Linked DNA regions of Drosophila melanogaster. The protein of the gene in region 1 interacts with the protein of each later gene in a biochemical or structural test. Each region holds a gene or a part of one and is shown on either strand. Other genes may lie near its edges. The genes, in order: CycD and vih.

What was found.
Region 2: of the proteins of CycD (region 1) and vih, one has a biochemical effect on the other in vitro, tested with the Drosophila melanogaster proteins (one study listed by BioGRID).

Annotation. Positions count from the first base shown.
Region 1 is NC_004354.4:15,904,608-15,914,089, reverse strand, and holds CycD (cyclin D), read left to right. Parts: upstream 1-4,413; 5' UTR 4,414-4,980; coding exon 4,981-5,553; intron 5,554-5,771; coding exon 5,772-5,993; intron 5,994-6,056; coding exon 6,057-6,231; intron 6,232-6,290; coding exon 6,291-6,436; intron 6,437-6,498; coding exon 6,499-6,816; 3' UTR 6,817-7,268; downstream 7,269-9,482. Other genes in the region: Lrp4 (LDL receptor related protein 4), read right to left, coding at 1-1,311, 1,967-2,018; shi (shibire), read right to left, coding at 8,166-8,316.
Region 2 is NT_037436.4:12,499,477-12,507,711, forward strand, and holds vih (vihar), read left to right. Parts: upstream 1-4,815; 5' UTR 4,816-5,069; coding exon 5,070-5,176; intron 5,177-5,242; coding exon 5,243-5,672; 3' UTR 5,673-6,333; downstream 6,334-8,235. Other genes in the region: CG10638 (uncharacterized protein), read right to left, coding at 1-12, 1,689-1,760; CG10681 (uncharacterized protein), read left to right, coding at 2,305-2,471, 2,528-2,999; CG10646 (uncharacterized protein), read right to left, coding at 3,149-4,129, 4,181-4,351; CG10654 (uncharacterized protein), read right to left, coding at 6,334-7,011, 7,674-8,234.

The DNA.
Region 1 (9,482 bases):
TGCAGCGCCCATTGTTGCAGGTAAACTCATCGGATCCGCAGGTCAGGGGATGCTCCGAGCCGAGACTACCGCAGTCGTTCTCGTCTTCTCCGCCGTCGCAATCCTGCTCCTTGTCACACTTCCAACGTTTGGGAATACAGGTGCCATCGGCACACTTGTATTCATTCGAGGTACATAGTGATGGCTTCTGGGGGCAATTCTCCTCGTCACTCCAGTCGCCGCAGTCGTTGTCGCCATCGCAGCGGAAACGATTGAGAATGCACTGGCCACTGGGACCACCTGCTCCACCCAAACCGCCGCGGCACTTGAACTCGCCCTCCGGACAGCTGTTTATGACCGCCGCGCACTTGAGCTCATCCGAGTTGTCATTGCAATCGTGCTCACCATCGCAACGAAAGGCCAGGGAGATGCAATAGCCATCGTTGCAGGTGAAGTGCTCATCCGTGCAGGTGGTGCGATTGCAGTGGGTCTCGTCGGAGAAGTCCTTGCAATCGTTCTCGCCATCGCATACCCAGGTTCGTGGAATACAGAATCCGTTGAGACACTCGAACTGATCATCTGTACAATTCGTCCTGGCTCCGCAGTGCGTCTCATCCGAGTAGTCACCGCAGTCATCATCTCCATCGCAGAGCCAATACTTGCTAATGCATCGAAAGGTTCGCGGGCACATCACATGTATCCCGGTCTTCTCGCAATCCCTTTGCAAATTCGGCACTGCATCCTCCTCGGGATTGCAGTTCTCGTCGGATTCATTGGAGTTCTGGCAATTGGAGTATGTCTCACCCGGTTGACTGGGATCGTCCTGCACCAGAACGGCCAGATTGACTCTAAATGGCTTCTGTTTGTTACTCGGACCACCTATAAAACCATCTCGACCACGTGAACTGATTCGATCAGTTTCGCGAATGCCGGCTATTTCGGTTCTACCCCTCTGGGCGCCAATGTTCCGGAACTTGGGAGTATCGTTTGAATTTGTGCCACCGGATATTCTAGTCTTGGATGGCACAGACGATTCCATCGTATGCAATCTTCCCTCTCCACTATGATGCACCTCCTGGCTATCCTCGTTATTCTGCTGATACGGCGGATAGTTGGAGACGGGAAAGAGTTTCTCGCCGAACTTGCTCAGCTCCTCCGACAGCTGATCCTCCCGCGACTCGTTGCCCGCCTCTAAATGTCCGATTCTGGCATCCGAGTGCAGCTGCTTGTGCTTATTCCAATCCCAACGACCCAGTGCGTTTGTCGGGTGAATTCCATAGTGGGGCGCGTTACGTTTCACAGCAGTTTTTGTCAAGTCGCCGAGACCGAGACCTAGTCAAAGGATTTAAATCGATACCATTTAACTTCTAATTAGCTCAAAATGCAGCAAAGGCTTTTGCCTTATCATACAAGTTCAGTCGTGTTAAGTTGAATTGAATGTTAACTACAAGTAGTTAAAGGAAAACCCCCCTATTTCTCATTCAAAGCAGATAGCAAAAGGCACGTTTTGCTATTGTTCCCACGCCACTGCAATGTTCTTGGAAAATACAACACTTTTCATAGGAAAGGAGCATTGAATGCAATGCTTCTGATTTGATACATACAAAGGTCATGTCTTGAGTTAAAAGGTTTTCCAATAGTTCAAAAACAGCTTTACAAAAACATGCATACATATGTACATACATACATATGTACATAGTCATGGACACGTTTTGTATGCAAGCAATATCCTTAAATAAAAAAGTTTCATTCAATTCGATGCATGTTCTTTGATGCCTTGCACATACATATTATAGATTGCATGTTCCTGGAAATTCGTATTACAATTAAGCCCTCTTGAGCAGGGAATTTTCTCAATTGGCTAGTTTTCGTGTGCAAGTTTTCATTGAGCAAAAAGTGCTGTTGGTCTGAGCGCATCGTGGGCGTTAACAGAGAGATACCCTTCATCTCCCCCCAGGACAAACTGTGTTGCGAGGACAATACTTACAGAGCCACACGAAGCATACCAATGGCCAAAAGGGAAAGGCTGTCAAATACATGTCCAGACATGTACACAAACTCGCCCACTCATAGGCACGTAACGTAGTAGCGCTGCGAGCTTTACTGCTTTTGCTTCCGAAGCATTTGCTGCTCTGCTAAGCGGATGCTGCTGCTGCTGCTGCTGCTGCTGTGCTGTTGCTTTCTGCTAACTGCTGTTCCGATTCTGTTAAGAGAAAGAGAGGAAGGTAGAGAGAAGGAGGTTTTCGTATTGAGCGCTTGCGTATAACATATTTTGCTACCAAGGCGGATCTAGAGTTTTATATATATATTTCTTTTTTTGAGGGGGGGCGGGGCGTAACTTTTAAAATAATGAAATTCACTCAATGATTTTTTGTCTCTAGGTTTTGGACAATATAAAGTTAATGCAAAGTTTTGGGCTTGGGGGAGGGGGGTTACTATGCGCAAAACCCGCCCACCTGATGTATATGTTGTGTATATGTTACACTTAAGCACACTCGTTCTTTGCGTAGGTGTCACTCAATAGATTTTACTCTATTCATCTTATTTGTAAGCACTTGGTTACTTCTGGTCTTTGTTATTTACTTATTGTGTCACTGGGTTTTTTATGATTTACATAAATGTTTATTGTAAGTTAATAAATTTAAATGCCTGGCTTGTACGTCCTCAACATTTTTCACATTACGCTGTCTCACTAAACAGAAGGTTTATTGTGACTTTGTAGGTCCAGGACCGACTCCGTGAATGGATCAAATATCATGCGGCACGGCATTCATGGCACTACTTCATTCAATGTATATCCTATTATAAAGTTGCGTGGGCTTGGCACTGCGTTTGGCATTTCCAGAATGTGGTATAAAGGTGTTTATAACGTCCTGCGAAGTCCCCTCGCAAATGAATGCGATATTTGGGACTTTGTTGGCATTTATGTATGTATGTCATGAGCACCACACACGCGAACATATGCATATTAAACACAGTATTATTAAACAAAAAGAACCTCCTGAAACTTTGACACTTTTCGATTCCAATTAGCAAGTGGCGGGCGAGAACAATTGAATCAGCTAATTGTTCCACACACATTTGTGTGGGTAATTTACGTGAATGAAAAATTATTTTCGTACAGCACGTCTCTTGTCTTCTTCGGGAATATAACGAATATAAAATTTCAGGGGATTACAGCATCCCTCTGACGGAAAGCGAAGTCGGCGGACGCGAGTGTTCCACTCAACTCTCGTGTGCTGTTTCAAAGTTTTCTCTGAATCCTTAAGCTTTTTCTGGGAAGCGAGCTTTTGTCTGTGTGCCGAGAGTGAGGGTAAATTAATTTGCAACAACTAAGTTAGCAAAATGCGAACCCAATTAAGGATTGTATCATTGAAAGCATTCTCCACGCTGCAGTTTTTCCTAAAAAACAACAAAAAACTGCAGCACCGAAATTAGGACAATGGACATGGAAGTCCATTTTAATCTCGATGTGTACATATATCGGTACATCATTTCTCGGAAGGGATCCACAGGTTACTTTTGTTTATCATTAACCTGGCATTCCTAAGTCGCGAAAGCTTTTTACCCTTTTATCAATATCTTATTAATTATTAAACAAAGCAGCAAAGATTATATCTTTTTTTTACAATTGCTTTTAGAATTTTTTTAGTGAAATTATTTTAGGTTTCTTACATGTCTTACTGTTTGTCATCTAAAACTGTTTAAGTACAACCCTAAAGAAAATAACAGCAGTTCAATGCTTTTTGTAAGCGGTACAGGATCTTTAAGTGCAGCATTCATTTATTTACGACTCTTTCGAACAACCTGCCATTTAATCAACAGGTTCCGGCCATTTAAACGGAATTTAATAAGGGTGTTTTGATCACGATTCAACCTAGTAGGGTGATGCCAGTGAGTTTTGCATTACTGACCATTTTGTCGTGGACCACGATCGTTAAATGTATGACATGCCGAAAGATCGACTGTCAGTACCATCCTTACATGAATGCAGGGTGGCAACGCCCTAGCATATTTTAGTATTTTTGATTTTGCTGGAGTAATTGGAACACTTGAGTGATGTGAAATTCACATCAAGAGTAAGTTCGTAAGATCGTATAACAAAAAGCTTATTTAAGAAAAAAAGTAGTGCAATTAGAAGAACTTTGTTTTTATTATAAGGGTAAGACCCTTTTATAGTCCATCAAACCCATTGATGGATTATAAGTTTTTAATGTTCTAATAACAACCCTAAGTGAAACATATTTCACAAGCAACAAGTTGGAAACGCAATGAGGAGGTTCCCCTTTTCAACGTATTTCGCTTGCCTTTCATTGCAAAGGATAGTACTATACTAATAACCGATGAAGATCGATATGTTTTACTGATCGCAGTGAGCAAGAGATATAACTCCGATGACGGCATGCTGAACTAGTTTTTTTCTGCCATAAGGTGTAACTATCTGGTTCACATAAATGCTTTGTCCACGCCGGTTAAGTGGCAAACGTGTGCAACTTCGAGTATACTTTTTTAATAGTTAATTTACATTACTCCATGAAGTGCTGTGCCGTTTGTATATAACCAGAATTCCGAGAATAGGCGTAAGTGAAAACTTTTGTTCTCGAGCTGATCGTACATAGCCATGCATGTACATGTACATAAGTACATAGTGTGAAATGAACGAGTTATTTCTGAGCAGGTCGAAAAAATATGTAAATAATGTAATGTGCATATGAATAAGTCAAGGTATTAGGGTTATATGCTATACTCTAGTGCTCCCACAGGACTAAACACATATGCCCGCAGTGTGCCCATACTTGAGCAAATACTTGAATTAAATGTGAAAAGAAGGTTGCAACATACATATGTATGTATGTACTTATGTACGATCATTTCCTATTGTACGCAGTGTTCCCATATCGGAGTTACCCAAAGTTCCTGATAAATCGGCACACATAAATGGCTTGAGAGTGCGGCGATCCATAGAATCCATAGCTTTAAACGGAACGTATGGCCGATATAATGGATCTTTTATGCTCGGAAATCATAGTCTACGAATCAGATCCATCATTGTATCGTTTGAACAAACGACAGCAGCAAATGTCCTCACCGGCGATCATTCGGGATCAATCATCGATATGTTCATCCTTGGGGGACGCGGAATCCGATTCCCATCCGGATGCCCAGAACAATGCCGTAGTGTGCAATATGAAGGAGCTGGTGTATATATACGCGTCCGTGGACTCGGCTGCGAAAAATCCAGAACAATTGGAGCCGCCTCCGCCACCTCCACCACCGCCGCCACCACCACCGACAGCGACCCAATCAATCCAAAGTTATCCGCGTTACATCAGCCAGGAGCCACCGACGTCACATTGCCAACGACTCGACGAACGCCTGACCACAACAGCCGATCCACCCGCAACCGACAACGTGAACACTGCCATCGGGGATCCCACATTGTATTCGGATCGGTGTCTGGAGAATTTCCTCAAGGTCGAGGAGAAGCACCACAAAATTCCCGACACGTACTTTAGCATCCAGAAGGATATTACGCCACCGATGCGCAAAATTGTCGCCGAATGGATGATGGAAGTGAGTAATTAAACGAAATGTAGATACAGCATCCAAATCATATCAAGCTAGCCGACTGTGATATACGCATTATTTATAATCTGTTAGAAAATATTACCAAATAGATGGAAGTTTCCAAGAACTTCATTAATTAGTGTTTGTTTTAGTAGTCCTTATCGCACACCCATTACAATATTTTGACTACCCTTTTCGTTCATTAATTGAATACATGTTCACAGGTGTGTGCCGAGGAAAATTGCCAGGAAGAGGTCGTATTACTGGCATTAAATTACATGGATCGATTTCTTTCGAGCAAATCAGTACGCAAGACCCAGCTACAAATTTTGGCCGCAGCTTGCCTCTTACTGGCTTCAAAGCTCCGTGAACCCAGCTGTCGTGCTCTTTCGGTGGATCTACTCGTTGTTTACACGGACAACAGCATCTACAAGGATGATTTGATTGTAAGTACCTTTCTCGTAATACAATACCTTTCGGTGAACATGCGGTTTCATTTCATTCCCAAGAAATGGGAGCTGTATGTGCTAAGTCGCTTGGGCTGGGACCTCTCATCTGTGACTCCCTTGGACTTCCTTGAGCTTCTGATGATGCGCCTGCCGATAGGCAGCAAAAACTTTCCGGACATAAACATTGGCAAAGTGCGGGGACATGCTCAGGCATTTATATCGTTGGCAGCAAAAGGTAAGCCATATACAAAACAGTCCAACTTAAGTACTGACTTCCCACCCCTTCCTTTGAAGAACATAAGTTTGCCAAGTTCTCGGCCAGCACCATAGCTGCATCGAGCATAGCTGCGTCAATGAATGGCCTAAAGTGGCATCTGCGATCGGGACACAATCTACACTTCCTTTTGAGTCTGATGACCGATCTAACCAGCGTGGAGCAAGTGAGTATGGCAAGGGAGCAGTGTTGTTATGTACCACCACTCAATTGATTTTAAATGCACAGGCTCAGGTGCGAGATTGTATGCTGCACATGGAGGACATCTTTAAGGAGCACAGTCGGAATCTAGAGCCATTTCTAGTGAATATTGACCCAAAAGAAATGTCAACATTATACTACAAGAGGCGCTTCCAAATACATCAATCGCAGCATCTCTCGCAAATCTCAATTAGACCCTTGCCGCTACCGAAAGCTCCTGCCGAGTGCGTGGAGCAACACCAGCAGCAGCACAACTTTGGGTCCGCAGCGCCACATCGGACGCACACGTGCAAGATGCAGGCGCAGGCTCAGGCTCAAAACGAGATACAAGACGTTACATTTTGAGGTGTCAAATGATAGTTATGCATACATGATAGTTATGTCAGGCTTAAGTTGAAATTATATATAGGATCCAAATAGTCCGATCACTATAGGATTGGCCAATATCACACTATTTACATTTGAATCGATGTATTTTATATGTACGCAACTATTTTTTACCAAACTATGGGTTATTATTTTTAGCTATCCTAAATATTTTGTATAAAATAGTTTTAAATAATCATCATGAAACTTTGAAATGGATGAAACATAAAAACGAGACTGATTGTAAGCAGCAAAGCAACATTTTTTTTTTGTATATAAGCTTTTCGAAATCCTACACAGATAACCAAAAAAGAACGAACTATTAAATGCAATTTTTTTAAAAACCATCCAACATAAAGAGAAAAACAATATGTTAAAGTTAACTTTGGATAACAATTATATAAGTTGGCAAATAAATGATAGAAAAAAGCAATTTCTTCTCTGCCCTCTATGATGTATGTATATTTTCGTATAATTTACTTTCAGATAAATCGCATTAGCTTACCAAACGAATCCAAGTAGTTAAAGGCAATGCGAATAATTTAATTTTTCTTTATTTTCTTATTAACAAACGTCTATAAACAAGAATCGTTAAAGACCATAACCTTAACACACACATAATATTTATCATTGAATAGGTTTTTGTATAATTTCTTGCGGACATTGCGTTGCTAAATAATATTTGTTCGCATATAATTCATTGCTCTGAGGATAGTTTAGTTCATACAAGTTTTTAGAGTGAGTACATAGTTCGATTTTTTTTTTACCATCAATGTAGAAGCATTGTAACACTGCAATTAACGATTTTCCTTTTAGATATTTCTTCGGTTTTTGTTTTGAGCTTTAAAAAAATACTGGCTTTATTGCATTCCTGCACTCGTCCGCCTCCTGCACTGCGATTCGAAATATCATATATGTACGGATATATGTAATACCATCTGGAAACGAAAACTATGAAGCTAGCAGCACTGTTTTTTACATATACATAAATACTCGTTTTGGAAAATAAATTTTTTTTTTTTTATTTCACGTTCAAATATACTTTAAAAAGTAAATGGTATCCCCGATAAACTTAATTCGAAAGCACTAATTTGAATGTTGAATTGTCCAAAAGATCATGTGTAAAACACTTTTTAAATTTTTCCATCGAATTTTCGAAACAACTGGATGGGAATTGCCATCTTTTTGGGATTTACATCTTTGATAAAAAAAAAAATGATGTGATATGGTTGGTGGGGGGAGGGGTTTCGCGTGCTGGCTCTCTAAGTTTCTGTTTCTGTTAATAATTAAGCATACTCTGGCATGCTGTGCACTCAATTACGCGGCCATTACTTGAATCGCGAACTGAAGGCATTGGACAACTCATTGATGGCTGCCTGGCCCACCGCCTGGTTCACCTGTCCACGCATACTCTCCGGCACATAGCGATTGGCTCCCGATTGCTGGACAATGGCGCCGCCGACAGCTCCGGACACACGGCTTTGAAAATGAACAAGGGGATTAATTTAAGTTTTTGAAGTATGTGATGTGCTTGAATTGAGAGATTCGGCGTATATATGTGTATGTATATGATGTATCCATGTGTGTATGTATATAAATTCAAATCGTTCGGATTTGATCCGAAGTTGGATTGAGTATCACCTCTAGCACTAACCAACTTCTACTTCGCACAGATTTCGACGAGATACACACCAAACGTGAAGCAATAGGTAGCTGATAGTCGACTATATTCCCCGCCAGTAAGCAATACACACTTATGTAATACGAACAATTTATGTATTTATTTATGCACTTTATTTGTGTGTATACGTAAACTGGTCATATGTAATTTAAGTTGTTGCATATTTCCATCGTCACAATCCATTTGAGTAAGTCACAAGAGTATTTTCATGACTTATATATTTGTAATCAACATTATAAATAATACAATTGTACATAAAAATATTGGAAACACGTATTTTGTATATATATATTTACACATATATATATATATATATATATATTTATATATATGTGTGTGTGTATATGTATATAGATATATTTAGGTTTGTTGTGGCAAAAAAGCGGTTTAATATCAATTTAAAAGAAATTATATTTTTTGACTTGGCTATAATTATGGATATACATGTAATTGTGTTAAATTATTATTATAATTTTTTTTCTTCTTTGTATGCTCCTGGGAATCGATACAAACCACTCAAAAAATCTCAGCAAATTTCGCAAATATTAACTATCGCAATCAAAATAACCAGCTTTCACATTGAATTCAAATCAGTACTTTGACCTCTGACCTGACCAAACTTATGCAAATATGTAACTACAAATACGAAGAGGAATGGACAATACAAATAAGCGTTAACTTAATCCTGTAACTTAATCGTTTCTTGGAAACGGGACAGCTGATGATTCCACAAATCCGAGAATCCGGATGGGGAATATGTACATACATACAAATAACATGTTTCTTACAGAAATTAATCGTATTAATTTATGGCGAACAAATCGTAATCATAAACATAATCATAATACGATATAGCGATAAGCGAAAGCAACGCCTACTTAATTAGTTAGAATCCCCAATATGTAATTGCAGTGTGCATTTTCGTTAAATGGATGGGGGAATTTAGTGTTTAGTATTAGTTCGA
Region 2 (8,235 bases), on another chromosome or scaffold:
GTTGTCCTTCGACTGCAAATAGAGAATATCAAATTCATCATTAACCTTTCTCCTTTCTGACAGAATCAAATATGTGTTTTATAATGCGACTCTTGAGATCAGTATATTGTTATTTTCGACCACAGCAACACGTTCGTTTCGGCCAGGAAATTGTGAGCATATCGGAGAGCCGCGAATTGACAAATCGAAACAATATCCGAAATTATACAACTGATCAACGTCGCAAGGCACACGAAAGATTCGATAAACTTTGATAGAGACATTTAGAGAGATACAAATAATTATTTCCCCAGGTGAGCACTTAAAATGTTAATAGGATCATATCTAGCACAAAATATAGTATATTTATATATGATAACGATTGATATGATGACATTTTATAACATTGTAATATTGTACTAAAAAAAAACTAACGTAAAAACTAAACTATCTAACGAGATTCTATCTTATACATTTACATAGTTACACTTTTTTTCCGAACACTAAATATCTCTTGCTAGTACGGATAGTACTGATGATTCTTCGCTTTATCGAATTTCCAGATTCTGCGCCCTGTATTAAAGGTCTTCATTTGGAGCAACTCCTCCGGCGTTAGGTGGAAATCAAATATATCCAGATTCTCTACGAGATGGGCTCGCTGGGCAGCTTTTGGAATAGGTACCGTGCCAATATCGATCTGTAGATTTTTAGCCAATAAATATCTTTATCACTTTACAATTCTAAGGTCGTTTATACCAAGTATCTTAGGATGATTTGAGCTGGTGTCTTGCCGTATTTCGCTGCCAACGCCAGTAGCTTGGAATCAGTGTAGTAATCGGGCAGCGGATTGCAGGCTTTGGGACGCCCCAGTGGCGAATAGGCAACCACGGTGATATTGTGAAATTTACAGAGCTCAATTAATGGGACTTGCACCAATTCCGGATGACATTCTATTTGTAGGTTTGCCGGCTTGATTTGGCAGTTTTCCAGTAATCTCTTCAGCTGATTGGCATTAAAGTTGGACAATCCCAAGCTGCGCACCAGCCCCAGATGCACCAGTTGCTCCATACTTCTGTAGGTGTCCACATAGTCCACATCGCTATAAGTTCCAAAGATCAGTTTCTTTAAGCTTCTTGAATCTAAACTATGTATGTTTAGTTGTATCCCAAACTCACTTGGTCCTCAGCTGGCCATTCTCGTGGGGCATCAGATCTTCATCAGAGATGTAGTCCACGCCCACCGGCGAATGCATCAGATATAGATCTATATAGTCCACGCCCAGTAGCTTTAATTGCATATCACAGGCGTATTTCACCATCTTGGGTTCGTGGTATATGTCCCACAGCTAATTGGATATTGATTTTCGATCTATTTACATGTGCTGGTAACTATATATAACCCATCTGTACTATATCCTACCTTTGTGACCAGAAACACCTGTTCGCGTTTCAGTTTCTGGTCGCCAATAAGTTTAGCTAAAACCTTGCCTATAATGCCTTCATTCCTGTACAGATATGCGGTGTCTATATGCCGATAGCCCATTTCGAGGGCGTGGCACACGGCAGCCTCACAGCGAGACTTCTTTAACTACAGATAACATAATTAACTTTCAATTTCACAATTGCACTTAATTGGAATTGAATGGTAGAAATTTCCATAAACAATTTCTGCCTGCTGATTTATTAGCATCGCCGATGATAAGGACTTACATTGTAGGTTCCTAGGCCCAGAATTGGCATCTCGTAGCCATTGTTTAGCTTAACAGTCGGAGCGAGCTTCATTTTGCACGTTTAAATCAAGAATAAATAAGGAAATTCAATCGCTTAATAAAAAAAAAGCCGGTGAGCATAGTGTGACCAAAACGGCTTTGCGTAAAAATACCCAATGCCATTCTGCTAAGCTTTATTATTTAAATATTTTTAAGTGTTTAAATAGCTAAAGAAACTTTGATTTATATTAAATAGGAACAAATGTTGTCATAAAACAGTGTTAATTTTATGTTAAAAAGTAAAATGTTCAAATTTAATTACGGCAGTGCTTTTGCATTTTGGCAGCTTGCAGCACTGGTTTATAACTAGTACTTAAACAGCTGTTACGAAAATATCTTTTTTTTTAAGAAATCTAAACAAAAGAACTTTTAAAATAGATGGAAACATGAGATCCATTTGAAAACGTAAATAAAAATAGAAAAAACTAAAACTGCCAGCAAACGCACACAAAGCAGAGTTCAAGTTGTCGCAAAGAAACCTTGAGACCTTGAAAAGCAAGTAAACAAATCAATTTTTGTGTTCTCCCTTATTATAAACAAATAAATTCTAGGCTACAATGAGCCACTTGGGCCTTGCGGATGTGCACCAGTCCGAGGATGCCACTCCTGACCTGGAATCCTTCACTGGCTTCGGCAACTCCGCCGCCGAGGCCTTCATTCAAAGTCTCGCAGGAATGGTGAATCAGGGCGATGTGGAGACCATGATACGGGCTCAAAAGCAAATGTAAGCCATTTCATTTAACCAGAGATTATAATAAACATCCAAAATATATCCCACAGGCTGCAACGCTTTGAGAAAACCAACGAGATGCTGCTCAACTGCAATGCCTTATCGCAGAGTCGTTTGAAAAGTGCCAGCGAGGATTTCAAAAGACACGTGAAATGCCTGAGCGAAATGAAGAAGGATCTGGATTACATATTCCGCAAGATACGGATCATCAAGCAGAAGCTACAGTCGCAGTTTCCCGCCATTTACGCCGAAGTTCAGCCGCAGCGTAGCAGTTTGGCTGAGGAAGCCGAGGATGATACGGAAGCCCAGGCTAAAAAGACTGCAGAAACACCTGCTCCTGCTGCCGCAAAACCTGTCCTATCCACCAAGAAAAGTGCCGCCACCATAGAGTACGTGCAGATGGAGGAGGCAGTGGACAATGGCACTGTGGAGATCGAAAACGAGCTGATCAAGCGAGTTTGTTCCGTGGAAACTGCCAATCCCAATGATTCCTCCGACTGCACATCCGAGGATACAGGTTAAGCCTAATTAGCTTTAGTCCCTCGATATATTTATCTTCATATAATAACTTATTGGTTTAATATTTGTATAACCTGCTACTACATACAAGGACACAATTCGTTTAGTTAGATTTAAATGAAATATGCGTAATAATTTAAGAAACTAATGGCTTAAAATATAATCTGGTACTTGTACTGCTTGGGCACCTTTGAGATTATGACGCGACCATCGTAGCTGAGCGAAGCAAAGATCCACGGATCCACATTGCTCCACTCCGCGCAGTAAACGGAGTCCTCGTGCTGATCGAAGGTCTGCAGCAGACCATCTGGCAAGAGTTTGTGCCTCTCCTCGGCATCGGCACCACTGAAGTTGGACTCATCTAGTCCAGCCTGAACCTGCGTCTCCGAACTAACCGATCCCGCACACGTGAGCAGCACCTTGCAGTCACTGGAGCTGGAGAGGATCAGTTGGTCGTGGAATGTGTTGAAGCGAACGCACCAGACCCAATGCGAATGATCGGAGCGCTCGAAAACGGGAGCCTTGGGCATGCGACAGTCCCAGATCCTCAAGTAGCCATCGTCACCGCCGGTGACCAAATGGCACTGCTTGTTGGGATTGCAGTCCAGGTCACGGACCATTTGACCATGCGCATCGTTGATGCTCCAGGCACAATGCTGTGTATCCCGCACATCGTAGGCACTTAGATTGCCATCCTGGAGGGTGAGAAACTGGTGGCCCTGATGATGATGCGACCACTTGCCGCTGGTGAAATGCTGTGTGTGCTTTGCAGATCCACTGGATGAACCACTGGCCGGCACCTCGGCCACCACGCGAGTAGAGGACTCGGCCCGCTGCATCACAGCCACCTTGTTGTCCACCACACAGGCGAGTGTGTCCTGGTTGGGATGGAATTCGATGGTCTTCACACGTTCGCCCAGTGCTTCGGTATCCAGGACCTCAACCTGCTCCCACGGCAGGTACTCTGACTTCAGCTGCTCCGGATCGGGATTGAGATTCTCGGGCAGCGTAAACAGAGCCGCTTTGGTCAGCACTTGTGCTCCCTTTTGTACATTGTAGACGGAGGCCAGCAGGCGAGGATTACGCGGACAACTATTTAGTTTCCAAACTTCACCCAGGGCGTGCTCAAAGACCTGTTCAAAGTTGTATGTTTAGCTCATACTTTGATCATCCCAGATATTCACCTTTGATTGCACGGATCCCTGCTCCTCCTCGTACTGGATTAAGTGAACCTGATTGGTGGGCTTCAAGGAGTTGGTGGCTATGAAGAAGCACACATCGTTGCTCTCTCCGTACTGAGGTGTTAAAGCCCGCGCCTGCAGTTCGAGTCCGTAGATTAAGCTATTTTCATCCATTTTCCACGATTTACTCAATGTTTTGATTTCGCTGGATATCTAGGTACGCAACTTACGTACACTAAACGGCGTACCTAAAAGTGTTGGTAAGCATTTATCACAAGGTGGCAGCCCTCGATCATATTACAAAACAATATATAATTTATTTTAATAAAATTAAAATATTTACATATATAAAGAGGCTTAAATATATGTGATTTAATATATTAAGCTCAAAATATAAAATAAATAATATTGGTATTCAAAATCCATTGATATAATTTGGTTACACTTAACGTTATGCCTTTTAAACGTGTAATAATTATACATACTTGGAATAGTAAGCTAATTATAGTATTAAGCTTAATACGTTTATAATCTTTACTTACCTTTGAAACATTTTCCGTTATCTCTCGGCCAGTGTGACCGTTCGACCACGCCAAGAGAGCGTATCGACTCCCCCCAAAAATAAATGAAATACAACCCTGTGCCCAAACACAGTTTCTTCTCGTTCTCCTTCCATTTTGTTTTCACACAAAAGTGAAAAAAAAAATATCTGAAAAAGCAACAGACGCGTATTCCGACCGATCAAACTAAATTTCCACTATACAGTACATATAATCACAATTGAGAATCGAAAACCCGACCGCCACGAAGCGCGCTAAATTACACGCACATACTGAAAGCCAAACAGCGGATAGCACTAGCATCCTACATATATAGACGTAGATATATAGTCATGGCGCAGAATATCAGCCCCGAGCAAAGTGGTGGAGCAGGCGGCGGCGGCAGCAAGCACAGCGATGACTCCATGCCCGTGAAAGACAATCACGCCGTGAGCAAAAGGTGAGTAGCACATGGTGCAGCCTAGATAATCCGCCAATATACACACACACTCACACTCACCCACAGACTGCACAAGGAACTGATGAACCTGATGATGGCCAACGAGAGGGGCATCTCAGCGTTTCCGGACGGCGAGAACATCTTCAAGTGGGTGGGCACCATAGCGGGTCCACGGAACACGGTGTATTCGGGGCAAACGTATCGTTTGTCACTGGATTTTCCCAATTCCTATCCGTATGCAGCACCCGTGGTGAAGTTCCTGACGTCCTGCTTCCATCCCAATGTTGATCTGCAGGGCGCCATCTGTTTGGACATACTGAAGGACAAATGGTCGGCCCTGTACGATGTGCGCACCATTCTGCTGTCCATACAATCCCTGCTGGGCGAACCGAACAACGAGAGTCCACTGAATGCGCAGGCCGCGATGATGTGGAATGACCAAAAGGAGTACAAAAAATATCTAGACGCCTTCTACGAGAAGCACAAGGACACCTAGAGTTTGGCAATTCGTTGTCATATATCCTATGCTCATATTGCGGCGTATTTATTTACATATAGTGCAAGCAACTCCACTCATCCGAAGACCTACTGCCAACCAACAAACCAATCATCAATCACCACCGTAACACAGTACCATCAGTTAAGTGGATCACCAGATCAATTTCAACAACGTTCAATGCTGATAGTTCATTTGGCAAAAGACCCCGTGCGTTTCTTATGTAATTGTCGATCGATTGACGGATAATCTGGTTTTTATTCTCATTTCTTTCCTCCTCCCTACAAATTAATGATAAATGAATGTATTGGTAATGTAATTTTAAAACTGTCATCCGTTCTTTAAGCTTAAGGATAAATTTTAGTTAATTGTTTTATATACGCATGATTACTTTTTTGAGAACTACTGCGAGTGCGCGCCATCGCCATCGCCATTTTTTTGTACTGATGATTTTTAAGCGACTATGCTGCTGCGCCGGCCATTATGTGAATGTTAGCTAATTTTAGGGCAGCCTCATCGATTCGTCAACCATTCGCGTCGTCTTAGTATCTCCAATTATGCGGCATTCTCCCACAATACTGGCATAACAAAATTCCAAGTAATTCGAATCATTGTAACAGTTGTGTTAGCTTGATGTTATTGAAACCACAAATAAAACGAATTATTGAACTACATCCATCGCTTTGTGTTTCCTCCCGTGAGCGTTGAGCTCCACGCTGTTCTGGAAAATGCGTCCGCATTTTCTGCATCTGAGCAGCAGATTCTTATTGCCGTGCTTGCGCAGCAGATGATCCACCATGTTCTCCTTGGTGTAGAATCTGCGATCGCAGCATTCGCAGCAGTATCTCCGACCCTCAACGCTACCATGGACCATCTTGTGGCGCGTTAGATGTGCCTTTCGCGCAAAGCACTTGCCACACTCCTCACAAATGTGCCGCGCATCCGGGGACTCTGACTCGTGATACCTTTCGTGCGTCCTTCTCATGTGATATTTGAGACTTCGGTTCGCTGTGTACACCTTGTTGCAGCTCGGACAGGCATAGATGATCCGCGCAGCGTCGGCATTGTTATGCATCTGCCGCAGGTGCGACTCCAGCAGATTGGCCCGGGCATAGCTCTTGGCACAATGGACGCAGGTATACGGTCTCAGACCCTCATGCTGCTGCATATGGGCCTCCAGCAGCGACGGTTTGTAGAAGCCACGGTGGCAAATTCGGCACTCGAGGGTGTGTCGCACTCCTCGTCGTTTTCTGGCACCCAGCAACTTGCTAGAAATGGATAGCTTCTCCTGGCCCAGATCCTGTTTGGCTGACTCGTCCTCTATTACGTAGACTTCCTCCTGGAAAATTTAGGGTATTATATATTTAATTACCATAGCAAACTGAATGGTGGTGGTTTTTTTTTTTTTTTGTGGGAATTCTGTACATATCTATTATGAAGGAATTTTTTATGTAAAAAGGGTCTAAGCATATAAAAACAAACTGCTTTTGGTTGAGTTAAGTAATTTGTAGTAAGGGTAGGAATTACATTATGTTTACTCATTACTTTAAAGTGGAAATTTTTCCTTAATTTGCTATTAAGATTATCTTATCGCTCGACTTAGAAGATGATAAAATGAAAGTAATATTTTGTGAACCGAACTTTTGGCGGTCACTTATCTGTTTAGTTTAGTTTTTTAATGCTAAAAATATTAAAGGCGCTATAAATAATATCTAAAATGAGTGAAAGTTAGGGAACACATTTATCTATTCTAGATAAAACTGGCCTTTAAAATCGACTTTCTTATTTGGAGGAGCCATAAATCGAGGCGTGTTGCCATCTTCCCAATTTTATTAGTGGAAAATTTAAAAATACCCAATAGATTGGGACGTGCCTCCTTTTCGAGTGCTATCACCCACCAAACAAAAATAGTACAACACAAACAAACGCTGTCGAAATGTTTTTGTTTATGGCGGGGAATGGGGAGCAGTATTGTCTTTGCTTGGCTGCTAGGCAACACACCTCGAGCGAAGCACCCAATGTGATTCTAGATAAGATTACGGCCAGAGGCAGGCACACTTGTGGCCAGATAAAACTCACAATCTCCTGCGTCGCTGCGATGCAGGGTGCGTGCGACTGGGCTTCCGGATTAGTGGACTCGTTGCTCTCCGAGGGGGTGTCCAAGTCGTGCCAAGTGTGGTCCTCCAGTTTGTGGCATCCGATGTCGATGTCCTGCAGCAGCTTCTCAAAATTGCGCAAGGACTCTGCGCACATGCGTTGAAAGTCGTGGAACTTTTGCACCAACTGATAGCAGCACTCGCAGATGCTTTTCAGCACCAACTGGGGTGGCAAATCCCTAACGGCATCCTCTCCAGTACAGCCGTAGTACTTGCTGGCCAGATCCTGTTCGCTGTCCAGATTGTGACACGCATCCTGCGGACCCAGTAGCACAAGACAAGCGCGGCATATCATCGTCTTGGCACCATCGCATCCATCCATGCCGGAGGTAGTGGTGGTGGTGGAATCGGCGACAATGCGACCCGCGCACAAACTCAGCTGGGAATCAAACATCGTTGCTGGCATC